Linked DNA regions of Saccharomyces cerevisiae S288C. The gene in region 1 interacts genetically with each later gene. Each region holds a gene or a part of one and is shown in the gene's direction. Other genes may lie near its edges.

The links. A genetic interaction does not mean that the proteins touch.
Region 2: mutations in ATS1 (region 1) and GCN20 together harm fitness more than expected from each alone (negative genetic interaction), as found in Saccharomyces cerevisiae (2 studies listed by BioGRID).
Region 3: mutations in ATS1 (region 1) and VHS1 together harm fitness more than expected from each alone (negative genetic interaction), as found in Saccharomyces cerevisiae (3 studies listed by BioGRID).

The regions. Positions count from the first base shown.
Region 1 is NC_001133.9:113,114-116,347, reverse strand, and holds ATS1 (Ats1p), read left to right. Parts: upstream 1-1,732; coding exon 1,733-2,734; downstream 2,735-3,234. Other genes in the region: DNA-dependent ATPase FUN30, read right to left, coding at 1-1,429; CCR4-NOT core exoribonuclease subunit CCR4, read left to right, coding at 2,989-3,234.
Region 2 is NC_001138.5:160,536-165,246, forward strand, and holds GCN20 (putative AAA family ATPase GCN20), read left to right. Parts: upstream 1-1,952; coding exon 1,953-4,211; downstream 4,212-4,711. Other genes in the region: FAR7 (Far7p), read left to right, coding at 1-665; ubiquitin-specific protease UBP6, read left to right, coding at 4,532-4,711. UniProt on the Saccharomyces cerevisiae protein: Acts as a positive activator of the GCN2 protein kinase activity in response to in response to low amino acid, carbon, or purine availability.
Region 3 is NC_001136.10:954,467-957,898, forward strand, and holds VHS1 (putative serine/threonine protein kinase VHS1), read left to right. Parts: upstream 1-1,546; coding exon 1,547-2,932; downstream 2,933-3,432. Other genes in the region: TRAPP subunit TRS23, read left to right, coding at 1-481; YDR246W-A (uncharacterized protein), read left to right, coding at 667-867; YDR248C (gluconokinase), read right to left, coding at 3,292-3,432. UniProt on the Saccharomyces cerevisiae protein: Probable serine/threonine protein kinase involved in the G1-S transition.

The DNA.
Region 1 (3,234 bases):
TTGGCTTAGTTGTGTTTCTAATTCGTTTTGTTTCTCTTTCCACTGGTGCTGGTGCTGGTGCTGGAGTAGGTTCTGCGCTAGTTTCATCAAAACCTTCCACTACGGCCTTTGTATCTTCTTTTTCCTTGCTAGTGGCGTCTGCGCCAGCGGTATTGTTATTGTTGCTATTATTATTATCGTTATTGCCATCATCATTGTCGTCGTCATCGTCTTCCCCAAGGTTCATCAGGTCCAACTCAGAGTTATCGCCTTCCACTTGCACACCCCATTTCTTCATTTGCGAAGTGACCAAATCACCGTAGGAAGAACATTTCTTGATCACAGACTCAATTGCATTGTAACCTCTTATACTTTGGGTGATTTTATCGAGCAGCCTCTCACTCTCATTGGCGGATGCAGCCGCACGTCTTTTTCTCTTGTTCGATGCGTTCTCCTCAGTGTCCTTATCATTGAAATTTGTGTTTACAAAGGCATTTAAAGAAGAATATGGCCTATGTGAGGCTATGAGTTGAGCCTTATGCATCGTGGTATCTGAGAGGTCCGAGAGATCGACAATATCAGAGTCATTAATAAACTGTAAAACTTGTTCATCCAGATTTATCTGCGGCGTGGATTCTGTGTAGTCGTCGCCACTTGCATCGTCATCGTCCGTCATCATACTCTCTTCCTCCTCTTCATCGTTGTCGTTTGCATGACGACCGTATTTGCGGTTCGCCAGTAGTTTCTCTCTTGCAGAACCTAATTGTGTAGCGGATGACTCATAAGACTTGCCAATTGGATGCTGATCTGCCCTTACCAGCCTTCTCTTTTTGTTGTAGTTCACGGGCAACTTGCTCAGTGCCTCCGAGTCTATATTCAAGTTAGTTGGCAGCTCAAAAGTGTATTGTTTCTGGTTGATGACGTTTGAGTAACGGTCAAAAATGGACGTTTTCTGTTTGGCCACGGTAATCTTGGAGGATTTGTTGTTGATATTGCCATGGATAGATGATAAACGGCCTGTGTTTGCCAGTGGTAATGACTTCTTGACAGGTGGCGGGGTTTCTGACTTCTTGGGAGATGCGTTCTTGTTCCATGTCCAATTTTGTCTTTGCTGCCTCAATCTTGTAAGACGTTCCCTGGCAGACTGTAAGTTAAAAGAGTTAGATTTGAAAACAGCCTGCACCAGAGTTTGAGAGAAATCGGGGAACTCTCTCGCAAGGTTAACCAGTGCTACCTCAGGACTCCCAGATGGGAGCGGCTTCGAAGTATGAGCTCCTTCGCTGGGATCTGAAGGCTTGAAAGTAAACCTGCTTCTCAAAGACGCCACACTTGCATCCGGAACTGTTGGCGAAGTAGGCTTTAAGGGAGACGACGATGCTACCTTGGTGGGAGAGGACGTCTCGGGCACTTGCACTACGTCATCCTCATCATTTGAATGCGAACCACTCATGTTTTCAACTATAGCGTATTTTCTCTCTTTTTCTTGTTTACGTTCCTTACTGTAGATAGTCGGGTGTCCACCAGTAGCAACAAACTCGAATATAGAGCACTATAGCACACGCCAGTACTGATTTAAGTTACGTGTTGCATTGCGAGATGGGCTCATGATCTCTTTTAATCCTACAAAGTGAAAAATTATGAAAAATTTCGCGGCGACGGGGGTAACGCAGCCGTTTGAGCCTTGATAATGCAGGCAGATCCAAAGCGCAAGTGATGGAATGTGATCATTAAAGGCTATAACAGGCTTGTATCGATGAGTTGTGTGTATGCGTTTGGGTCTAATGGGCAAAGGCAACTGGGACTGGGGCACGATGAGGATATGGATACCCCACAGAGGTCTGTGCCAGGAGATGATGGAGCAATAGTCAGGAAGATAGCGTGCGGTGGGAACCACAGCGTGATGCTGACAAATGACGGGAATCTGGTAGGATGTGGAGATAACAGACGGGGAGAACTGGATAGTGCGCAAGCACTGCGGCAGGTGCATGACTGGAGGCCCGTGGAAGTACCGGCACCCGTGGTGGATGTGGCGTGCGGCTGGGACACGACAGTTATTGTGGATGCTGATGGCCGTGTATGGCAGAGAGGAGGCGGTTGCTACGAGTTCACTCAGCAACATGTGCCATTGAATTCCAACGATGAGCGCATCGCAGTATACGGATGTTTCCAGAACTTTGTGGTGGTGCAAGGCACCCGAGTATACGGCTGGGGCAGCAACACAAAGTGTCAATTGCAAGAGCCCAAATCCCGATCACTGAAAGAGCCCGTATTGGTGTACGATACCGGGTCTGTGGCCGTAGACTACGTGGCCATGGGCAAGGACTTCATGGTCATAGTGGACGAGGGCGGCCGCATAGTGCACGCATCCGGTCGCCTGCCCACTGGGTTCGAGCTCAAACAACAGCAAAAAAGACACAATCTAGTGGTACTGTGCATGTGGACCTCGATCCACCTGTGGAATGCGCGCCTCAATACGGTAGAGTCGTTTGGTAGGGGCACACATTCCCAACTCTTCCCGCAAGAGCGCCTAGACTTCCCTATTGTCGGTGTTGCAACCGGGAGTGAGCACGGTATTCTAACTACTGCTAATCAAGAAGGCAAGTCTCACTGTTACAATGTATACTGCTGGGGCTGGGGAGAGCATGGCAACTGCGGCCCGCAAAAGGGCTCCCAGCCTGGACTGCAGCTCGTGGGCCAATACTCTGGAAAACCTCGCGTGTTTGGCGGATGTGCCACCACGTGGATCGTGCTCTAGCACTGATAAGTAACTATATACCCACTATCATATACATAGATGTCCATTCAGCATTAATTCTCATCGTGGTAGATCTCAAAGGTAAAGTAGCCGTTTAGGCCTTTTGTTATCGCCCGTACTTGCGAAAAACGGGCCAACAACGAAAAAATTTGAAAAAGTTTCCACCTTAGAGAAGGTTCTCAAGCACAAGGGCACAGCATAAGGGACACCAGCAAGGGAACTCCGACTGACGTTATCCCTGCAAACTACCGCTAATGAACGACCCTTCTTTACTAGGCTACCCTAATGTGGGCCCGCAGCAGCAACAGCAACAGCAGCAACAGCAGCATGCCGGGCTACTAGGAAAGGGTACACCAAACGCTCTACAGCAGCAGCTACACATGAACCAGCTCACCGGGATACCTCCACCGGGACTCATGAACAACAGCGATGTACACACTTCCAGCAACAACAACTCGCGCCAGTTGCTCGACCAATTGGCTAATGGGAACGCGAACATG
Region 2 (4,711 bases), on another chromosome or scaffold:
TGAGTGACCAAATCAACGTTTTGTCAATGCAACAACAACAACAGCAGCAGCAGCAGCAGCAGCAAGTATATATGTCTCCTCAAGCAGAAAACTTGAATCATATGTACTTGTTAGTTAACAAGCTAGTGAAACAGTTGAGGGAAAATCAAGCAGAAAAGGCGAAAATACTAAGGAACATAGACATATTATCCGGAAGCTTAAACAAGTATGAGACATCTGAAGAACCTCACGATACCACGGAAAATATTGCATTATTTAATAGATTTCTAGAACAAAGAGGGAAAGCTCCTATTACTGAGAAAGAGCAACTAAGCAACAATCTGGATGAAAATGCGAAAGATGACGTTATGCTAGGAGTGTTGAAGCGCCAAAATTCAATGCTCCGGAAAAGTTTACAGGAATCCAAGCAGGTAACCCTTGAATCCATGGATTTATTGTCTTACTCCGAAGACTCTTTAAATTACATTGTCGCCCAATTAAGAGGAAACATTCTAATGCATCATAAAGAGACTATCAAATTGATTAGGCAGAAATTCCAGACGGAGACAATTCCCCTCGAAGATGAAGAGTTCAAGATGTATTTGGAAAATGTTAATGGTCTGCAAAAATTGACAGATATATCTCACACTTATAGATTACTACTGAGGTTACATGCACAAGATTGAAACTTTGCCCTTTTGCTTCCAATGAAAGCAAGATGACAAATATACATGCTTCTTATATTCGAGATTGCGCAAAAATTCGAAGCTCATTTATGAAGGCTTTTTCCATTCTGATATATGTTTATGAAATTGAAAAAGTAACGACGGTGGAACATTTTGCGGGAAAACAACTCACAGAATGTCTTGACGTTCTTTTCCTGCAGTTGCGTGCGTAAGATATCCTAAGCTACTGTATTATTTGCCAAAAATAATAAAATGTTGGAGGAAAGCCTCTATAAATACACAGGATATATATGTTTAATAAACATATATAATTTCCTCAATATTTGCAAAAGCATTTTGTTGTGATGAGAGTCGATTATCGTTTACCGATTAGTATCTATACTATTAATATATTTTCATATAATTAGTATAATCTCATATACGCTGCCAGAAGATAACATGAAAATTAAGAAACAATCATCAGCTTCAATGGAAGTTGAAGTGCAAGGATAAATAATACTATTTAGAAATATGGATTTTCCCTCGTTGACTAGAAGATCTGTGAAGATTGGGTGAATAGTTTAATAATTATTGGATCCCATTATTGATCAAGGCTATAATACTTGACTATTTGGCGAATTTTGAGATAATTGTTGGGATTCCATTGTTGATAAAGGCCATAATATTATGTATACAGGATATACTAGAAGTTCTCCTCGATGATATAGGAATCCTCGAAATGGAATCTATATTTCTACATACTAATATTACGATTATTCCTCATTCCGTTTTATATGTTTCATTATCCTATTGCATTATCAATCCTTGCACTTCAGCTTCCTCTAACTTCGATGACAGCTTCTCATAACTTATGTCATCATCTTTACACCGTATATGATAATATATTGATAATATAACTATTAGTTGATAGACGATAGTGGATTTTTATTCCAACACACTAATTATCATTCGTTACATCTCAAATTGGTTAGAGAAGTTACAAACATTATTATTGATTTATCCAAGGATAGTTTTCACAAGAAAACAAGCGCAAGTGGTTTAGTGGTAAAATCCAACGTTGCCATCGTTGGGCCCCCGGTTCGATTCCGGGCTTGCGCAGTTTCTTTTTTTTCTGATTTTTATTTTTTTGTTCCTGAAAATTTTTCGTATTATTAGATCTAGTAGAAAATGAAAGACATTTGAAAAGAGAAATATATATTCTGCAGTAAGCTAGCTAAGACTAGTCGTTTTGAAGCGCTAAAACGTTAACTTCGATTCATAGCACAAAAGGTAAATAACTTTTTTGAAATGGCAAGCATCGGTTCGCAAGTGAGAAAAGCTGCTTCTAGTATTGACCCTATCGTCACGGATTACGCAGTGGGCTACTTTAACCACTTGTCCGGAATAACTTTTGATGCTGTTCAAAGTAAGCAGGTAGATTTGTCCACTGAAGTGCAATTTGTGTCCGATTTATTGATTGATGCGGGTGCGTCAAAGGCTAAAGTTAAAGAACTATCGGAAAGTATTTTGAAGCAATTGACTACTCAACTAAAGGAGAACGAAGCCAAATTGGAATTGACCGGTGATACGTCCAAGAGATTACTTGATATTAATGTCTTAAAGAGTCATAACAGTAAATCCGATATCAACGTCTCATTAAGCATGCTGGGTGTGAACGGTGACATCGAACATACTGGTAGAAAGATGGAAACAAGAGTTGATTTGAAAAAACTGGCCAAGGCTGAACAAAAGATCGCAAAGAAAGTCGCCAAGAGAAATAACAAATTTGTTAAATACGAGGCTTCTAAATTGATCAATGACCAAAAGGAGGAGGATTACGATTCTTTCTTTTTGCAAATCAACCCTTTAGAATTCGGTTCATCCGCTGGTAAATCCAAGGATATCCATATTGACACTTTCGACTTGTACGTTGGTGACGGTCAAAGAATTTTGTCCAACGCCCAATTGACTCTAAGTTTTGGTCACAGATATGGTCTTGTGGGCCAAAATGGTATTGGTAAATCTACTTTGTTAAGGGCTCTATCTAGAAGAGAGCTGAACGTCCCCAAACATGTTTCGATTTTACACGTGGAACAAGAGTTAAGAGGTGATGATACAAAGGCTTTACAAAGTGTGCTGGATGCAGACGTTTGGAGAAAACAACTATTAAGTGAAGAAGCCAAGATCAATGAAAGATTAAAGGAAATGGATGTATTAAGACAGGAATTCGAAGAAGACAGTTTAGAAGTTAAAAAATTGGACAATGAAAGAGAAGACTTGGATAACCATTTGATACAGATTTCTGACAAATTAGTCGATATGGAATCTGACAAGGCTGAAGCTAGGGCAGCATCAATCTTATATGGTTTGGGGTTCAGTACGGAGGCACAGCAACAACCCACTAATTCCTTTTCCGGTGGTTGGAGAATGAGATTGTCCTTGGCAAGAGCCTTATTCTGTCAACCAGATCTTTTGTTGTTAGATGAACCTTCCAATATGTTGGATGTGCCATCCATCGCTTATTTAGCAGAGTATTTGAAAACATATCCAAATACAGTTTTGACAGTTTCTCACGACCGTGCATTCTTGAATGAAGTGGCTACAGATATCATTTATCAACACAACGAAAGACTAGACTATTACAGAGGCCAAGATTTCGATACCTTTTACACCACAAAGGAGGAACGTAGAAAGAATGCTCAACGTGAGTATGATAACCAAATGGTTTACAGAAAGCACTTGCAAGAGTTTATTGACAAATACAGATACAATGCTGCCAAATCACAGGAAGCTCAATCAAGAATTAAGAAATTGGAAAAATTGCCCGTTTTGGAGCCACCTGAACAAGACAAAACCATTGATTTCAAATTCCCTGAATGTGATAAATTGTCTCCACCAATTATCCAATTGCAAGACGTTTCCTTTGGTTATGATGAAAACAACCTATTATTGAAAGATGTTAACCTGGACGTTCAAATGGATTCCAGAATTGCCCTTGTAGGTGCCAATGGTTGTGGTAAGACTACACTGTTGAAGATTATGATGGAGCAGTTAAGACCACTAAAAGGCTTTGTATCAAGAAACCCAAGATTACGTATAGGCTACTTCACTCAACATCATGTGGATTCTATGGATTTGACCACGTCTGCAGTGGACTGGATGTCCAAATCCTTCCCAGGTAAAACTGATGAAGAGTATAGACGTCATCTAGGTTCATTTGGTATCACTGGTACCCTGGGTCTACAAAAGATGCAATTATTATCCGGTGGTCAAAAATCTCGTGTAGCATTCGCTGCATTGTGTTTAAATAATCCACACATTTTGGTTCTGGATGAACCTTCTAACCATTTGGATACCACTGGTCTAGACGCTTTGGTAGAAGCCTTGAAAAATTTCAACGGTGGTGTCTTAATGGTTTCCCATGATATCTCTGTTATTGACTCTGTTTGTAAAGAGATTTGGGTTTCAGAGCAAGGTACTGTCAAGAGGTTCGAAGGTACAATTTACGACTATAGAGATTACATCTTGCAGTCTGCTGATGCTGCAGGTGTGGTTAAAAAGCATTGATTATTTAGGAAGCACCTCAGAATATATTTTCCATAGAAGCCTAAATTAAGTATGCATTCATAGCCCCATGATACTTTTTTTTTTTGACTACTTGTATTGGAATCTAATTGACCTAACTGGGCATTCTGGGTCATTGGTATATGTATCACTTTTTACGTAAAAAAGTAGTGGCTAATATAAAACATAAAATCTACAAGAAGGGTGAAGTGCTTTTCGAATTTTGCCACTGCAAGTAATTGGTGCAATTGAAATACGAGATTTCGTTCTCTAAGAGGATATAAAAATAAGGAAATTAGCCCTACCTATCCTTGTGTTAAAATATGAGCGGAGAAACGTTTGAGTTCAATATTAGACATTCTGGTAAAGTTTACCCAATAACACTTTCCACTGATGCTACTTCAGCAGATTTGAAAAGCAAAGCAGAGGAATTGACCCAAGTCCCAAGTGCCCGCCAAAAATACATGGTTAAAGGTGGCTTGTCTGGCGAAGAGTCCATTAAA
Region 3 (3,432 bases), on another chromosome or scaffold:
AACGAACATCGAAAATACCATCCCATATATACCTTACGTGGGCATGTCCAGCAATAGGAGCGATACAAGAAATGGAGGTGGCAATAACAACAAACACACTAATAATGAAAAACTGGGCAGTTTTAAAGGAGATGATTTTTTCAAAGAACCATTTACGAACTGGAACAAGAGCGGATTGAGACAACTATGCACGGATCAGTTCACGATGTTCATATATCAGACCCTAACCGGCCTGAAGTTTGTCGCTATCAGCTCCAGCGTCATGCCCCAGAGACAGCCAACTATAGCCACCACCGACAAGCCTGACCGACCCAAGAGTACATCCAATTTGGCCATCCAAATAGCCGACAACTTCCTAAGGAAGGTTTACTGTTTGTATAGTGACTACGTCATGAAAGACCCATCTTACTCAATGGAAATGCCTATAAGATCTAACCTGTTCGACGAAAAAGTCAAAAAAATGGTAGAAAACCTACAATAGACGCACGCGCCATCGGAAGATAAACGCATTCACACCAAGAAAATAAATACTACGTACTTCTAGAACTAAGAAGAAGTTGCCGCTCTCCGTCTCCTCCTTCATAAATAGGGATAGCTTTTACTACTACGTACGAAAAAAGACCACACTGCGACGGATCCTCTGCATCCCAACACCAGCGATAGAAAATGCGCCGCCTATATCGTCATCTTGCTTCCTTTTTCTTACTCCCTTCCTGCCCTGGAAACACCATACAATCCATCACATCATATCCTGCCAATGCACTATTACGCAGCTTTCGGCACGTGAGTACGGAAACACCAGTTCGGAACCGGGTACACAATAGGGATAGTCAAAGCTGTCCATTTTTTCCGCTGATGGATGACTGATACCAAAGTGTAACCCAAAAGGGGTAGTCGATCCTACTTTTACCAGTTACGTTAAAGGGACCAAAACGTGGGGAAGGGATGCCGCCACCACCACCGCCACTACCCCCGCCAACATGGCCTAACTTAGCAGTCCTCGCTTGTGTATCTAGGTCCGCGTCCGCTAATTCGCGCGGCTTGCCACTTAACCCCGTCCAGTTAATTTGCCAAGCAGCGGCCGCACGTTGGAACGTTTTCGCCGATTTATTTATTATTATTTATACATGTTGACGTTGGTGCCCTTTTGTTTATACTGGAGCCTAAAACGTACCTCAATTAAATTTAGTGTGCCATATTATAGTGCTATTAAACCTTTATTTTTATTTTTAATTTTAAAACTGCTTTGGTTCTCTCCCTCCCTTACCGTTGCCACCTTAAGACTCACTGATATTTATTCATACTTACAAGTGCTATAAGAAAAGACTTGATTTATTAGCTTTACAGCGTTTTTACATTTGTGTCACTGCTATTATATTTTTGTTTACCTCTTTTTGTTGCTGGTGTTGGCGCTACCATTGTTTTTTTGTTTTATGAGTTACGTTTACAAAAGTTCTTAACATTTACTGTACGATAATATACTAAGGTGAAATACTAAAGTAAAATAAAATAAGAGAAAGAAAAAAAAAAAAAAAAGAAAAAAGTAATGATGATGTTCCATAATTGCAGAATTAATAACTACTTAATAACTTCTCAAATTGGCGAAGGCGCGTACGGTCTGGTTTACCGTGCCTTAGATATTCGTACCGATAGACAATACGCTATCAAAGCGGTTGTTCAAAGTTACGGTGTTAGCAAGGAGGCTGATATGGGCAATGATAAAATACACAAAAATAGCGTGAAATTGCAAAAGAAGCTCGCTAAACTGTTCAAGGAATCGAAAAACGTTGTCAGGGTGCCCTCTATAGATCTAGAATCAATTGAGAATATGTCAGAAGAAGATTTTAAAAAGCTGCCCCATTATAAAGAGATTTCGCTACACCTAAGAGTCCACCATCATAAGAACATTGTCACCATACATGAGGTGCTACAATCTGCAGTCTGCACGTTCATTGTCATGGATTATTACCCAACAGACCTATTCACGTCTATTGTAGATAACAGACATTTTGTCACTAATGGACTGCTAGTAAAAAAGGTTTTTCTACAGATCTGTTCTGCTCTTAATTATTGCCATGAGCACGGCATCTACCACTGTGACATCAAGCCTGAAAACTTGCTACTGGATACAGAAGATAACGTTTTCCTATGCGATTTTGGTCTATCCACTACTTCCACATATATAAAGCCAAATGTTTGCATTGGTAGCTCGTATTATATGCCCCCTGAAAGAATCTCATTTGATGGGAGAGTTTCCAGCTCTAAAAGTGGGGGACATAAGTTGGGTAAGGTTTGTCCCTCATGTAATGGCGATTTGTGGTCATTAGGTATCATCCTTATCAATTTGACATGCATCAGAAATCCCTGGCTGAAGGCTGACAAAACCGAGGATAATACCTACTATTATTTCACTAAGGATCCCAATATACTAAAGCAAATCCTACCGCTTTCCGATGACTTTTACTCATTATTATCTAAGATTTTACAAGTGAATCCGAAGAATAGAATGAGCTTGCAAGAGTTGATGAAAGAAGTTAGTTCTATTACAAGCTTCACCAATGAAGGCCCGTTATCAAAAGTGCCGCCTCTTTCCAAGTCTGTTTATGAAAAGTTCGTTAGCCCCGTCGATAACACGAATGAGAATTTGTCTCCAAAATCCTACGTGTACATGCACGATAGTAAAGCTGCCAAGAATTTATCTTATACATCTTCAAGTGAGGAAGAAGATGGAATCAAAGAAGGGATAGACGATGATAATGGCAGTCGCAGTGGCAGTTTCGGAACGCTAGACACAGACACTGGATTGCATTCTTCGTTCACAAGCACTTCTTGCGAGTCCGATAACGAATGTTCTAAGATTTCCAACAAATTTTCCTTGTTCGAAAAAAAATTCAACGAACTTCGCATGAGTTCCTCTTCTTTAACTAACTAACCCCCTCCTTTTTGGCACAAAAGTGTACTACACATCTGTTTTAAGCCCACAATTGATAGACCTTCTCTTGATGATCATCTGTTTTCCCGAAAATATTACTTGCCAAAGCAAGTTGTAGTTATATTCACACTTCCGTTATGACCCCCTCATCCGTTTAATGTTATTTGTTTTTATGGTATTCCCTTTATTCATTTTTTTTCTTGCTTTTTTTTGTTGATCCCTGTAACCCCTTTTTTTTTTTTGGAAGTTGCTATTATTATTCATTCACATTTGTTCTGTCTTTGTTAATTTTCCAGGTCACCGTATTTAATTTCTATATAACTGTTTCTAATATTTACTTCGTTTTATCCAAGCGTTATTTACTCAATATTCAAAACTTTACTTTTTACCACCTGTATAACATCTTTTTCAATTTGATAAAACGTTTTGAAATCTAAGGGAACAATGTCACAGTCAGTTTCGTCGTTGATGTCTGGTAACTCCAGATCCCTGAATTGAGA